Saccharomyces cerevisiae S288C: one gene and its partner. The protein of the gene in region 1 interacts with the protein of each later gene in a pairwise test. Each region holds a gene or a part of one and is shown in the gene's direction. Other genes may lie near its edges. The genes, in order: URB2 and URB1.

Region 1 (5,836 bases):
GTAAAATTGAGTGTATCTTACCACTAATGATGTCGACGCATGGTTGTTCCCAATCATTTGTTATGTCTACGACGTTAGCTTCCAGTGACATTTGTAAATATTCTGCTGATAGTTCTAATGAGGGGATATAGTATAATAAAAACCCACAAAAGGACTCATACCACGTCCTTGAATACTGCAGAATTTTTCGTTGATTTCCACCAATTACTAACAAGAAATCTTCAATGTAATCCCGTAATTCACCGGAAATATCAGTAGCAGAACTACCAAAGGCTTGACTTAATTTTAGCACCAAATTTTTCCATTCTCTAAATGTACTGGACGAATCTTTTGGATATTGTTTCAGGAGTTCGATGGAGTCACTTACTGCATCAAATGAAACGGCACATGTATCACTCAAATATGGTAAAAGATCTGATCTTTCAATGCAACCTATAGCTTGGGAGAGCAGGCCTCTTAAAACAAGCTGATTCAAAAGCTTCCAGAAATATTGTGTTTCGAACACTTTTTTACCTGCTGTAGAATCCTTCACTGAAAACACTTGTTCAATATATTCTTCATCTGGTTCACCGTCTGATCTATTAATCCAGTTTAGCAATGACTCAATAAACTCTGATCTGTTCTCCTCTACATCCTGACCATCTAATATGAAGTACATTGTCCTCAGACAGTTTAAAACGGTTAAAGATTCTTCCAACTCATAAAATCGGTTCACTCTTCCATCCTGATCCTTGACTCTACCAATAAACACTTCCAATTCATTCAGAATCGCCTCCATGGCCAGATTTACTGTTGCATTATGCTCCTTCGCGAAATTAGAATTAACAACTCCAATCGTTGGTACATTAAACACTCTGTCATCACCTAAATCACGGTAAATTTCAAATAAACCTGATACGTATGCAGAAAACTCTTTGCTGGTATCTAATCTAGGAATTCTAACAGGATAAAGCTTATATTTATCTTTTGCAGTTATGAATGCCATATTTTGGTAAGAAAGTGGCCCCAGCTTGAACTTTAAAGGCATCTTGTCGCCATTTTTTTCAATCGGTTGATCATTTACAGTCATAGGGACCAGGATAGCCCCGCTGACTGGGTCCCTTTTATATAGTTGTTCTTCTTCATCGGTCTTGTTATTACTAAGTTGCGCCGTTCCGTCGTCCAAAAAATCAAATTGATCGACGTCCATAAGTAATCGATTTGAATCATCGATTGTCATATCTGATAATTGCGTTCTGGCTCACGCTTATTGACTCAACTCAAGACCGTAAGTTCAATGTTTTCTATACAACTACAATTTGTACAAGGCTTGACTTCCATCCAACTAAAAAACCTCTCCGTCGTGCGCGATCTGAAAAATTTCACTTAGCTCATCTCAAAATGATCGCTAAGAGGGCACTTGGTCACAACTACAGAATTGTTTACTAGCATAGGAACATCTCTGTCTAAGATTTAGCTTGCCATCAATTATCTTTGGAAAAACAGAGAGTATACTGCACTTTTTGATAATATGGGTGATCTTACAGAAGAACTATCTATCCCAGACAATGCCCAAGATTTGTCGAAATTACTACGTTCGACGAGCACAAAACCCCATCAAATTGCCGAGATAGTTTCAAAATTTGATAAATTAGAAACCTACTTTCCAAAAAAAGAAATTTTCGTCTTAGATTTACTCATTGATAGGCTCAACAATGGAAATTTGGATGATTTTAAGACCAGTGAACATACTTGGATAATTTTCACGAGATTATTAGATGCTATTAATGATCCAATTTCGATAAAAAAACTACTCAAAAAATTGAAGACTGTGCCTGTAATGATAAGAACATTTTTCCTTTGGCCTAAAGACAAATTACTTACACGTAGCGTTTCGTTTATAAAAGCATTTTTTGCGATTAATGACTACTTGATTGTCAATTTTTCTGTTGAAGAGTCTTTTCAACTTTTAGAACATGCCATAAATGGATTAAGTTCGTGCCCGACGACTGACTTTGCGCTTTCATACTTGCAAGATGCCTGCAATCTAACTCATGTTGACAATATTACTACAACGGATAACAAAATTGCTACTTGTTACTGCAAGCATATGCTACTACCAAGTTTAAGATATTTCGCACAGACCAAAAATTCTGCATCTTCAAACCAATCCTTCATTCGTCTATCTCATTTTATGGGAAAGTTCCTTTTACAACCACGCATAGATTACATGAAATTAAATAAAAAGTTTGTCCAAGAGAATGCGTCCGAAATTACCGACGATATGGCTTATTATTATTTTGCCACTTTCGTCACTTTCTTATCAAAAGACAATTTTGCTCAACTAGAAGTCATCTTTACAATTTTAGGTGCCAAGAAACCTAGTTTAGAATGCAGATTTCTGAATCTTTTATCGGAATCGAAGAAAACCGTATCTCAAGAGTTCCTTGAAGCATTATTGCTTGAAATGTTAGCGTCGACTGATGAATCTGGAGTGTTATCATTAATACCAATTATCCTTAAATTGGATATCGAGGTTGCTATTAAACATATTTTTCGGTTACTTGAATTGATTCAGCTCGAAAATTTGAACGATCCTCTCTTTTCCTCTCATATTTGGGATTTAATAATCCAATCACACGCTAACGCAAGGGAATTATCAGATTTTTTTGCCAAAATAAATGAGTACTGTTCCAGAAAAGGACCCGATTCCTATTTTTTGATAAATCATCCTGCATATGTCAAGTCTATAACGAAGCAATTGTTCACTTTATCTTCTTTACAATGGAAAAATCTATTGCAAGCTTTACTTGACCAAGTCAATCACGATTCCACCAACAGGGTTCCTTTATATTTAATACGCATATGCTTGGAGGGACTATCAGAGGGCGCATCGCGCGCAACTCTCGATGAGGTAAAGCCTATTTTATCTCAAGTATTTACTTTGGAATCATTTAATAACAGTCTTCAATGGGACCTAAAGTATCATATAATGGAAGTCTACGATGATATTGTCCCTGCAGAGGAACTAGAAAAAATCGATTACGTGTTATCTTCTAATATTTTTGATACTACATCGGCTGATGTTGAAGAACTGTTCTTTTATTGCTTCAAATTGAGAGAATATATTTCGTTCGATCTTTCTGATGCAAAAAAAAAATTCATGAGGCACTTTGAAATCCTTGACGAAGAAAGAAAGTCAAACTTATCATACTCTGTTGTGTCCAAATTTGCAACATTAGTAAACAACAACTTTACAAGAGAACAAATTTCTTCTTTAATTGATTCATTACTATTGAACTCGACAAATTTATCTTCGTTATTAAAAAATGATGACATTTTTGAGGAGACAAATATCACGTACGCTTTAATAAACAAGCTTGCTTCATCATACCATCAAACCTTCGCTCTAGAAGCTTTGATTCAAATTCCTATCCAATGCATCAACAAAAACGTTAGAGTGGCTCTCATTAACAATCTAACATGCGAATCATTTTGCCTTGATTCCGCTACTAGAGAATGCCTCCTTCATTTATTGTCAAGCCCGACCTTCAAGAGCAACATTGAAACAAATTTCTACGAATTATGTGAGAAAACAATAATGAGCCCCGAAATGGCCATTTCAGAGACAGGTGATGAAAAAAAGGAAATAGAAGACAAAATATCTATTTTCGAAAAAGTTTGGACTAATCATCTGTCACAGGCAAAGGAGCCTGTGAGTGAGAAGTTCTTAGAATCTGGTTACGATATCGTTAAACAGTCAATGTCATTGTCCAATGGTGATAGCAAACTAATTATCGCCGGGTTTACTATCGCAAAATTTTTGAAACCAGATAACAAGCATAGAGATATACAAGGTATGGCAATTAGCTATGCTGTTAAAATTTTGGAAAACTACTCTGAAAATTTTGAATCTGAAACAATTCCCCTTTTCAGAATATCAATGTCTACATTGTACAAGATTATAACGACCGGACAAGGCGATATTTCTAAGCATAAATCGAGAATTCTGGATATATTTTCCAAAATTATGCTTCGATATCATTCTAAAAAAGTGTACCATGCGCCAGAAGAACAGGAAATGTTTTTGGTTCATTCACTCCTTACAGAAAACAAGTTGGAGTATATTTTTGCAGAGTACTTAAATATTGAGCATACAGATAAGTGCGATTCTGCCTTGGGGTTCTGCTTGGAAGAAAGTCTTAAACAAGGTCCTGATGCGTTTAACCGCCTGCTCTGGAACAGTGCTAAATCGTTTTCCACCATTAGCCAACCTTGTGCTGAAAAATTTGTGAGAGTTTTTATCATAATGTCAAAAAGGATTGCAAGAGACAATAACCTTGGTCATCACCTATTTGTGATAGCTTTACTTGAAGCCTACACCTATTGTGATATAGAAAAATTTGGCTACAAGTCATACTTGCTACTGTTCAATGCTATCAAGGAGTTCTTAGTATCGAAACCATGGCTATTCAGCCAATACTGTATTGAAATGCTGCTTCCTTTCTGTTTAAAAACTCTCGCTTTTATAGTAAACCATGAGTCAACGGATGAAATCAATGAAGGCTTTATTAACATCATCGAAGTGATAGATCATATGCTATTAGTTCACAGGTTTAAATTTTCCAATCGTCACCATTTGTTTAACTCCGTTCTTTGCCAGATACTAGAAATAATAGCAATTCATGATGGTACATTGTGTGCAAATTCAGCAGACGCCGTAGCCAGACTAATAACGAACTACTGCGAGCCTTATAATGTATCAAACGCTCAAAATGGGCAGAAAAATAACTTAAGCTCAAAGATAAGTTTGATAAAGCAGTCCATCAGAAAAAATGTACTTGTGGTTCTAACGAAATATATACAGTTGTCTATTACGACGCAGTTCAGTTTAAACATAAAAAAGAGTCTGCAGCCCGGTATTCATGCGATTTTTGATATATTATCTCAGAACGAGTTGAATCAATTGAACGCTTTCCTTGACACACCTGGGAAACAATATTTCAAAGCACTTTACCTCCAATACAAAAAGGTTGGTAAATGGCGCGAAGATTAACTTATGTGTTTTAGTGTGTTTTCAAAAGGCATTTCTCTGCTCACGTTTAATAACAGGGTGACGGAGCTTAAACAAGTAAAAATTGATAAAAGTCTGTATCATATAATTTTGAATAATCTATACTAGCGCCTTAAAAATTACATAAATGTCTAATCATATAACGTTACCATTTCGATTAGTGGTAAACCTTTTGATTATGAAATGGATAACTGACCAACATCTTCTATCAAGTGCTTCATTATATGTAAATTTCGCACCGTGAACTTCTCGATACTTAATTCTTTTGAACCTCAAAATATCTTTAGCAGTGACCAACCCCTTTAAAATTCCACTTTCCTCTACGATGATAGTCTTACAACCTAGCTCTTTAAACATACGGAATAACAATGTTACTGGCACCGCCTTCTTCACCGAGATTGGAGATTCATTCATAATATCCTTAAATCCGATGCAGTTTTCACGATGTCCCAACTCTTCGTTAGACTTATTGAAGTATACCAGTGTCGTTTGAGCTTTGGTGCTATTTACGCTTTGCATCATGATTTTACTGGCTAAGTGCCTTTTTAAAACATAGCCAATACATCTTTTTTCCTTCTCAAACTTATCCTCATCCTTAGTTATTGGAAAACCATGCACAGAATATTCAGACGCTGAGTCGTACAACAAAGATTCAAGCTCGGAAAGGTAAATGGTTTCATTAATAGTAATTAATTTGGAGGACATGAGCTGCTCTGCAGTGTATTTTTCTAAGGTTTCCTCCTCTTCCTCGTCTTGCTCGTCTTCCAAATATGGGAATCCATT
Region 2 (7,659 bases), on another chromosome or scaffold:
ATGGGATACTGTATCATGTTTTTGTTCTGCGATGGGTTCTACTTTCTTCTCGAAGGCCGGAATAGTCCAGCTGGTTTCTCTTGTTGTTGGATTATAATAGTATACTTTGCCGTCTGCCGTCTTGGCCGCCTTCCAGCCATTTTCTCGAAGAAGTAGCTCCTCCTGAGAAATTAGTTCCTTGGGCTTCTCCCACGTAGATTTCTTTGTCAAAGTATTGTAATAATATATCCTTCCACTTGCATCTTTAGCTTCCTTCCAAATAGACATAGTTTCACGTCTCCCACCTCCGGCAATGCTTGTCTAGTGGTCGATCTGGCTTCAGACCTTGTTATCCTGATAGGTAGGCACGCTATTGCGATGTCATCAACTGCCAGATTTCCAAGTACATTATTATTGTCGATAATTTCATATCGTTTACCACGTCGCCCCTTTTGTATAGCAAAATACAATTATAGAACAAAAAAAGCCTGTAAAGCCAAGCAAATAGAGGCTTTCGGAACAACTCGGTGTCACTTTGACAAAAGATAAAAGAGGAAGCAACTGATAGTAGGAAATGTCACAATCATTACGTCCGTATCTAACGGCTGTTCGTTATTCCCTGGAAGCTGCGTTGACTTTGAGCAATTTCTCTTCGCAGGAAGTGGAGAGGCACAACAGACCGGAAGTTGAAGTCCCTAACACTAGCGCCGAATTGTTGCTCCAACCGATGCATATATCTCGTAATGAAAATGAACAAGTATTGATTGAGCCCAGTGTAAACTCGGTGCGTATGAGTTTAATGGTGAAACAGGCAGATGAAATTGAGCAGATTTTAGTTCACAAGTTTACTAGATTTTTGGAACAGCGTGCTGAAGCATTCTACATTCTGAGACGTGTACCAATACCTGGCTACAGTATTTCTTTTCTAATAACTAATAAGCATACTGAATCAATGAAAACTGGGAAATTGGTTGATTTTATTATTGAATTCATGGAGGACGTGGATAAGGAAATCAGTGAAATTAAACTGTTTTTGAATGCCAGAGCAAGATTTGTTGCGGAAGCATATCTTGATGAATTTGTCTATTAGATTCCTAATATAGGAAAGGGAATCTTTCTCCGTCAGGGCCCTATTGACGGAAAACTTTACGATCTGTACTGACTGTGTTAGTTTGCGTACTCAATTGAACTATTTCGAGACTATTTAGTTAGATACAATAACATGTGTATGTGAATTAATTATAAACGTACTTTTAAATTGCAGTTACTTTGTATAATTATGGTGATTTTTTTAGTACTTAAATTATATTCATAAAAAGGGATTAAAATGTTTCTCCCGACACCTAAAATTAAACTTCAATCTGTCAATTCTAACACAAAACGTTTTCATTTTACGTAAACAAATGAAGATTGAAGATTCTAAAGCATTTATTATTACTGCCGCACTAGTATACGACCAAACTAAAATTATATGATAATAGTGCACCAACATATAGTAAACAGCTTTTACCTATGCACGACTTGCATGAGGATTTCAATATTATATCACTGTAGACGAAATATGAAAAATTTCAGCAATAAAGCTCATCGCAAAGAATAGTTCGGTTATATTCTTGATTGGATATTATTTCTCTAATCTATGCGGTACTACTTCATCTAACAGAACTAGAGGAGCACTTACATAATGAGTAATCATAGCGAAGCCTATGGATCTCGCGACCAGAGAAGGGAGAAGTACACCCAAGGGAAAGAGTTCGAAGACGGTACATTAGAAACACTAGAAAGTATAATCAGTGCAGTCGAAGATGAAACTCTCTCCAAAGATTACCAACCTCTAATAGTGTTCTTCCAAAGAGGATTTGGTGCTCAATTGGTACAGACTTGGTCATATTATGCTCAAGTAAATAACCATGGGAAATTCTCGAAAACTACCTCATTACTGACTAAAACCTTACGAGTTTTGTCATCTGATACTAGTACAGTGACTATTGGGAGCGGTCTAATTAGATTGATATTGACCGATTACACAAAAGTTCTCTATAGAGGGTTGAACAATATGCGTGCGCAATTAACTAATCCAATTCTTCGTCTACTCAAACAAATAGTCAATTTCAACAATGGGCAACATATAGAGGAATTAGTTTCATATTTCGATTTTTCATTACCTATTTTACCAAGACTGTTGGTACCAAGCAAGTCTGAGTTAGCCAATGGGAATTCATCTGCTGATTCATCCAAACATGACTCATTAAGATTTACATTTATCAAGTTTTGGTTGACATTGATCTCAAATGCTTCCCCATTCGTGAGAAAAGAACTTTTGACAGAAAACTTTAAGATTATGAGCAACCTATTTAAATTCATGAATAAGGCTGATTCTGACAAGTTATCTGAGCACATACTATCGGTATTCATAAACGACATTTTAAAGGAGAAATCCTTCAAGAGAACTACTAAAACCAAAATTTTAAATGAACTAGCGGCTTCAAAGATTCATCACTTTTATTATTCATCAAACAAGAATTTGGTTAAGAAGGCAAATGAGTTTTTCTTAACTTTTGGAGCTTCCCGTGACTTTAGCGTAGCATTTCCTGATAATTGCGTTTGGTTCAAAAATTCAGTTGCTGATGGAGCTTCTCATGGAGCTCCGATAACCGTCAACCAAGTGGAATTTCAAATTCATAATAAACTTTTGTTCAACACTTTACGCCTTTTCAAACCTTGGGAAGATACGCTGCAATTAGGTACGTTGATCAAAATATTGGAGAACGTTCCCGAACTTGTTGCTCCTTACAGCATCTTTTTAACGACGAATGGTAACTATGACCCTAAGATGACTTCGTATTGGTTTGGTATAACGTTACTGATTAACAAGATTATTAATCTTAAGATACCGCAATTTATGGAGAAAGTTGATAGCAATATTCCACCTGCCACTTCATTAGTTATAGAAAACATTCTGCCATCTTTGCTCACCAAATCCTCGTTGGTTAAATCCCTACAATTTGAAACACCCATCATAAGACAATTAGCCTGTCAATCAATAGTTCTAGCGTTAAAAAAATTAGAAAAAGTTTCCACATTTTATGATCAAAAAGGCTGGAGAAATGAAAAAACTATTTTACTCAACGAGTTTCATACTAGAATTCCTGATTTACCAATCTTCGTATCTACTTTGAGCAATTCTTTGGCTTCCAATAAGGATAATAGAATTTTACCTCTGTCCATATCCATCATATTCAACTACTATAGTAAAATGTTCCCCAACCTCTTCTCAATTAACCTACCATCATCAAATATTTACACAGATATCATGCAAAAATCCAAGATTTCTGGCATAGAATTTGCTATTCTGGACAACTACTTACAATTTCAAGAATTTAACTCTACTCAAACCAGGTGGTGGAATCCAAGTTCTGGTGGAAATTCTTTATTCACCCTACTATTAAAGCTAGCATCCTCCAAAAATGCTTCTAACGTGATAACTACAAGAATATCCAACTTGCTCGATGAGCTGACGAGAACAAACGTTATCTTCAACATATCTTTAATTTCACCAGTGATGGCTTTAGTGAATAGTCTTCAAGGGCTTTCCCTTCAAGTTTCTGAAATTGACAACATGGAACAAGTCTGGAAGTGGTTTGACGAAACTATATCTCGTGTCGTAAAAACACCATACAAGTACGTCGATATGGCAAAAGAGTATAACTACATTTCTCCCTTCATAATGTGCCTTTCAGAGCAATGGAAATACGTTGACAAGAGTGGAAACCCAGAGTTTTTAATTAAATGGCTTATACTTTTTCTTAGAAACATGATTTTCATTGGTGAAGACCATATAGGCATAGATAAACTTGTTAAAAATGTCTTTCCTGAGGTCTCTGATCATGATGTTAATATATACTTGAAACTTGACTCATTTGAAGAAAACATAAAGAAAACTAATAGCTCTAATTCTTTAATTTCTTCAATGAAGAGCTCATCTTTTTTCCAGTATATTTCGGCGCTTCCATCTAAAAATCTAATGAATATTTCTAGATTACCAGTGAACAAATTAGATGCGGCAGGAATCCTTTTTAGAGTTCAGTTATTGGTAGAAGACGATTCTGTTGTATATGACAATTGGTTCGAAGCAACTGCCTGTGAGTTAACTGGCAAGATTGCTAGCTACATGGTAACAGACACAGAATTCCCAATTATCAAAGTTTTGGAAAGGTATATAAATTTCGCTTTACCAAAACTGGCCATTGAAAAAAGAAATGCTCTACTCATGAAAAAATCAAGGTTCATGTGCAATTTAATCGGTGCAGTATGCTTTGAAACAGGCCATCAATTAGTGGAATTCCGAGAAATAATTCAAAAAGTCGTGTTTAGTGGTGAAAATGTCGAAGAGTATGCCAACTATAATGAGTTGTATCAGAAAGAAGATGTAAATGCTTTCTTAACAAGTGTTAGTGAGTATTTAAGTACTTCAGCTTTAACTTCGCTACTCATGTGTAGCACCAAACTAGAGTCCACAAGAAACATTCTCCAAAAATTATTCAACGAAGGAAAAACTATAAAAATATCCCTTGTAAAGAATATACTGAACAAAGCTGCAAATGAAGATCCTGCTTCAATTAAGGAAGTAAACATCTCTTTGGCTAAATTTTTTGAAGAAAACAAAGTTTGTGTTGATGCTTCATCTGATCCTATGGGTAAGCTATCCCTTTCAGAAACTACTTCTCTGATAAATAGTTTTGTGTCTAGTGATTTGAATTATCTAGTACTGAAAGCTTTTTACAGATGGGAACATTTTTCTTTCCCATCTTTCATACCAAGTATCTGGAGGATCAAGGATTCACCTTTACTAAGTATTGTAACAACGGCTGCTTTGTTCAAGCACATGCAGGATAAAGATTTTAGCGCATTTGCGCATGAAACCATTTCCAAGTATGGTAATGAAATTGCGAAAAGTACTTACACTACCTCGAAAAGTGAGATTTTTGACGAAATATTAAATATGATTACCACTTATATTGATTTCTATGACGAAACGAAACGAAATGAAATTTTGAAATGTGTTTTATCACAGAGCGACCATAAATATCATGCTGCTACAGTAAGATACATAGCTGCACACAATAATTTTACTTATCCAGGGGTAGAAACATGGTTACATAAAACTCTTCTTTACCTTACAAAGTACCTTTCAGAAAGAAAAGTTATCTCCAATTCTTTTTTTGAGTTACTAAGAGCGATGGCTGAGCTCTTAAAACTTGAAGAGGTACCAAATAAGTTGAATGTCAAAATCATTAATTCTCAATTAGAGGCTATTCTAGGCAGTGAGTGGATCAAACAAATTAAGGTTCTTGAATACGTTATTGTATTAATTTTTTGTGTGAGCAAAAAGTCAATTCAATCGCAAAGAATGGTTCAACTTTTATTAAGCAATGACAGTTACTCATCAATAATGATTAAAGACAATGATGAAGATTCATCGTATCGAAAGTTCTTAAGCACAATGATATTATTCTCTTTATTCAGCATCGACCCGGTCGTAAATTCGACGCCAATAGTTCAAGAGAAATTATTGACTTTTTACTCCGGTACTATTTCCAGTAACGACAAGTTGATACTGAAAATTCTAGAAACTATCGAATCTCACACCGCTACTTCATGGACAAACATGATTTTTTCTTGGGAATTTATCAAAGACGAAGAGGAAGAAATCTTGGAAGCCATTGGAGACACGAGGCTGATTACCAAAGAAAGGGAGGGGTTGATACTAACACTACAAAAAAACATGATCAAAAAGTCCATTGACAGATACGTATTGGAAAGGCCTCAAGTCCCTGAATTATATACCGATTCTAATACAAACAATTATGATGCTACTACAAGGTGTGACCTAGTCAAAAAGTACTACGATGATACCGAACGATCTGGTGTTGATATGTACGATCCATTATTTTTACTGCTATTAATAATCCATAACAAAGAGCTGGTAAAAATGGTCAAAGATGACGAGGGCAATGTAACATACAGATATGAATTTGAAAATTTCCTTGATTGCAAAATATTTCAGTTTATTATTTGCTCATTAAGCGATTGTCATACCGTTGCCAATATAAGTTACGAACATTTATCAAATTTAGCTTCTTCTTTGGAGAAGAAAACTGCCCAGATGAATCTTGAAAAGCAAATAACTAGCAAGGATAATGAAAGAAAAGAATCTGATAGCGATTTAATCAAATATAATAGCATTTACCAAGTGTTGATTAAAAGGATTTTATACCAGAGACAACAAAATCAAGATCCTATCAATCCGTTAATTTGGTTTTCTATCTCTAGAATTGTTGATCTATTGGGAAGTCCAACTGCGCCCTTACATGAGAAGGCATACCGCTGGGTATTATCAAATTCTACCATACGTAGTTGGGACATCCCTATGGTATCTGATGTGATGATGTCCTACAATAAGAGACAACAAGATGACAATAAGAAAGAAATTGATATGGAAATATACTATGGAGAATTGAGTTGGGTTTTAACAACCATTTGTAAGGGAATTAAAACGGATGAAGATTACAAGATGTTAGAGAAGAAAGGTGTATTTGAATGGTTGTTAAACTTGATCAATATGCCATACTTGAAAGAAAGATTACGCGAACTAATCTATTTTATTTTTTACAAAGTCCAAAGGGTAGCAGATGATGGTGGTTTGAATTTAATTAGCAGAAACGGTATTGTGTCGTTTTTCGAGGTTTTGAACAATAACATCAAATCTAGACTACCACAGGACGATATACTGAACAACATTGGTACTTTACGGAACGAAAACAGAGGTACATTAAATACTACTTTGAGGTTAGCCCAAGAACAAAACGGAATTGAAAAACTACTATTAGGCTACAACGAGCTTGTCAAATCACAAAAAAGGCTAATATTATGGACAGAAGGTGATAGCGACAATGTTGTCAAGAGGCTACGTAAATGAGCTGTCTTGTGATAGATATTTTAAATAAGATTTGAAGAATTAAATGTCCACTTTTCTATATAATGTGCGAAATGTATAATATATGCATAAGAAAACAAAGAAATCAGTATTTTCTTCTTTGTCTTTGTAATGGTGTTATGGTCCTAAATAATCAGTAAAGTCAATTTCACTACCAGCAGCTGCAGTTGGATCCATAGTATTTCCCAGCCACATTGCTTGATCAGTGATTTCCTTCCAAAGTTTTTCATCGGAATGATCAATATTGCCTAAATCCTCCAACAATTGTTGTAAATCGTCATCATTTAGATTATGAACGGAATCCAACTGATCCATGTTTTTTTCCATCACCTGAGAGCCCTTTTCAGTTAGCGTGGTTTGGTATGAATTTTCCAAGCTCGCAGTTATGATATCAAAAAAAGTAGAAGGTTCCGAGTTATTGACGTTAATATCATTAACATCATTATTACCATTACTATAATCAGTCAGCGTTGGTTTCGCGCCTTCCGGAAGTATGCTAACAATGTTCGATATAGATTCGTTCTTGATCATATTTGTATTGGTGTTTGATTTATCACAGTCTATAATTGAAGGGTCAATGCGATCGCCATCTTTGTGAGGTTTACACTTTTCGGTTTCTCTTTTGGGTTCATTGCTATCTTCTACTATGTTATCGTTTTCACAATTCATAGAATCAAATTTCA

The links.
Region 2: the proteins of URB2 (region 1) and URB1 interact in binary tests that used the Saccharomyces cerevisiae proteins (3 or more experiments, as listed by UniProt).

The regions. Positions count from the first base shown.
Region 1 is NC_001142.9:509,438-515,273, reverse strand, and holds URB2 (ribosome biogenesis protein URB2), read left to right. Parts: upstream 1-1,510; coding exon 1,511-5,035; downstream 5,036-5,836. Other genes in the region: NUP85 (Nup85p), read right to left, coding at 1-1,219; GEF1 (Gef1p), read right to left, coding at 5,189-5,836.
Region 2 is NC_001143.9:410,918-418,576, reverse strand, and holds URB1 (Urb1p), read left to right. Parts: upstream 1-1,663; coding exon 1,664-6,958; downstream 6,959-7,659. Other genes in the region: snoRNA-splicing protein PRP40, read right to left, coding at 1-267; ARC19 (Arc19p), read left to right, coding at 554-1,069; PUT3 (Put3p), read right to left, coding at 7,094-7,659. UniProt on the Saccharomyces cerevisiae protein: Required for 60S ribosomal subunit formation and pre-rRNA processing. Required for normal accumulation of 25S and 5.8S rRNAs.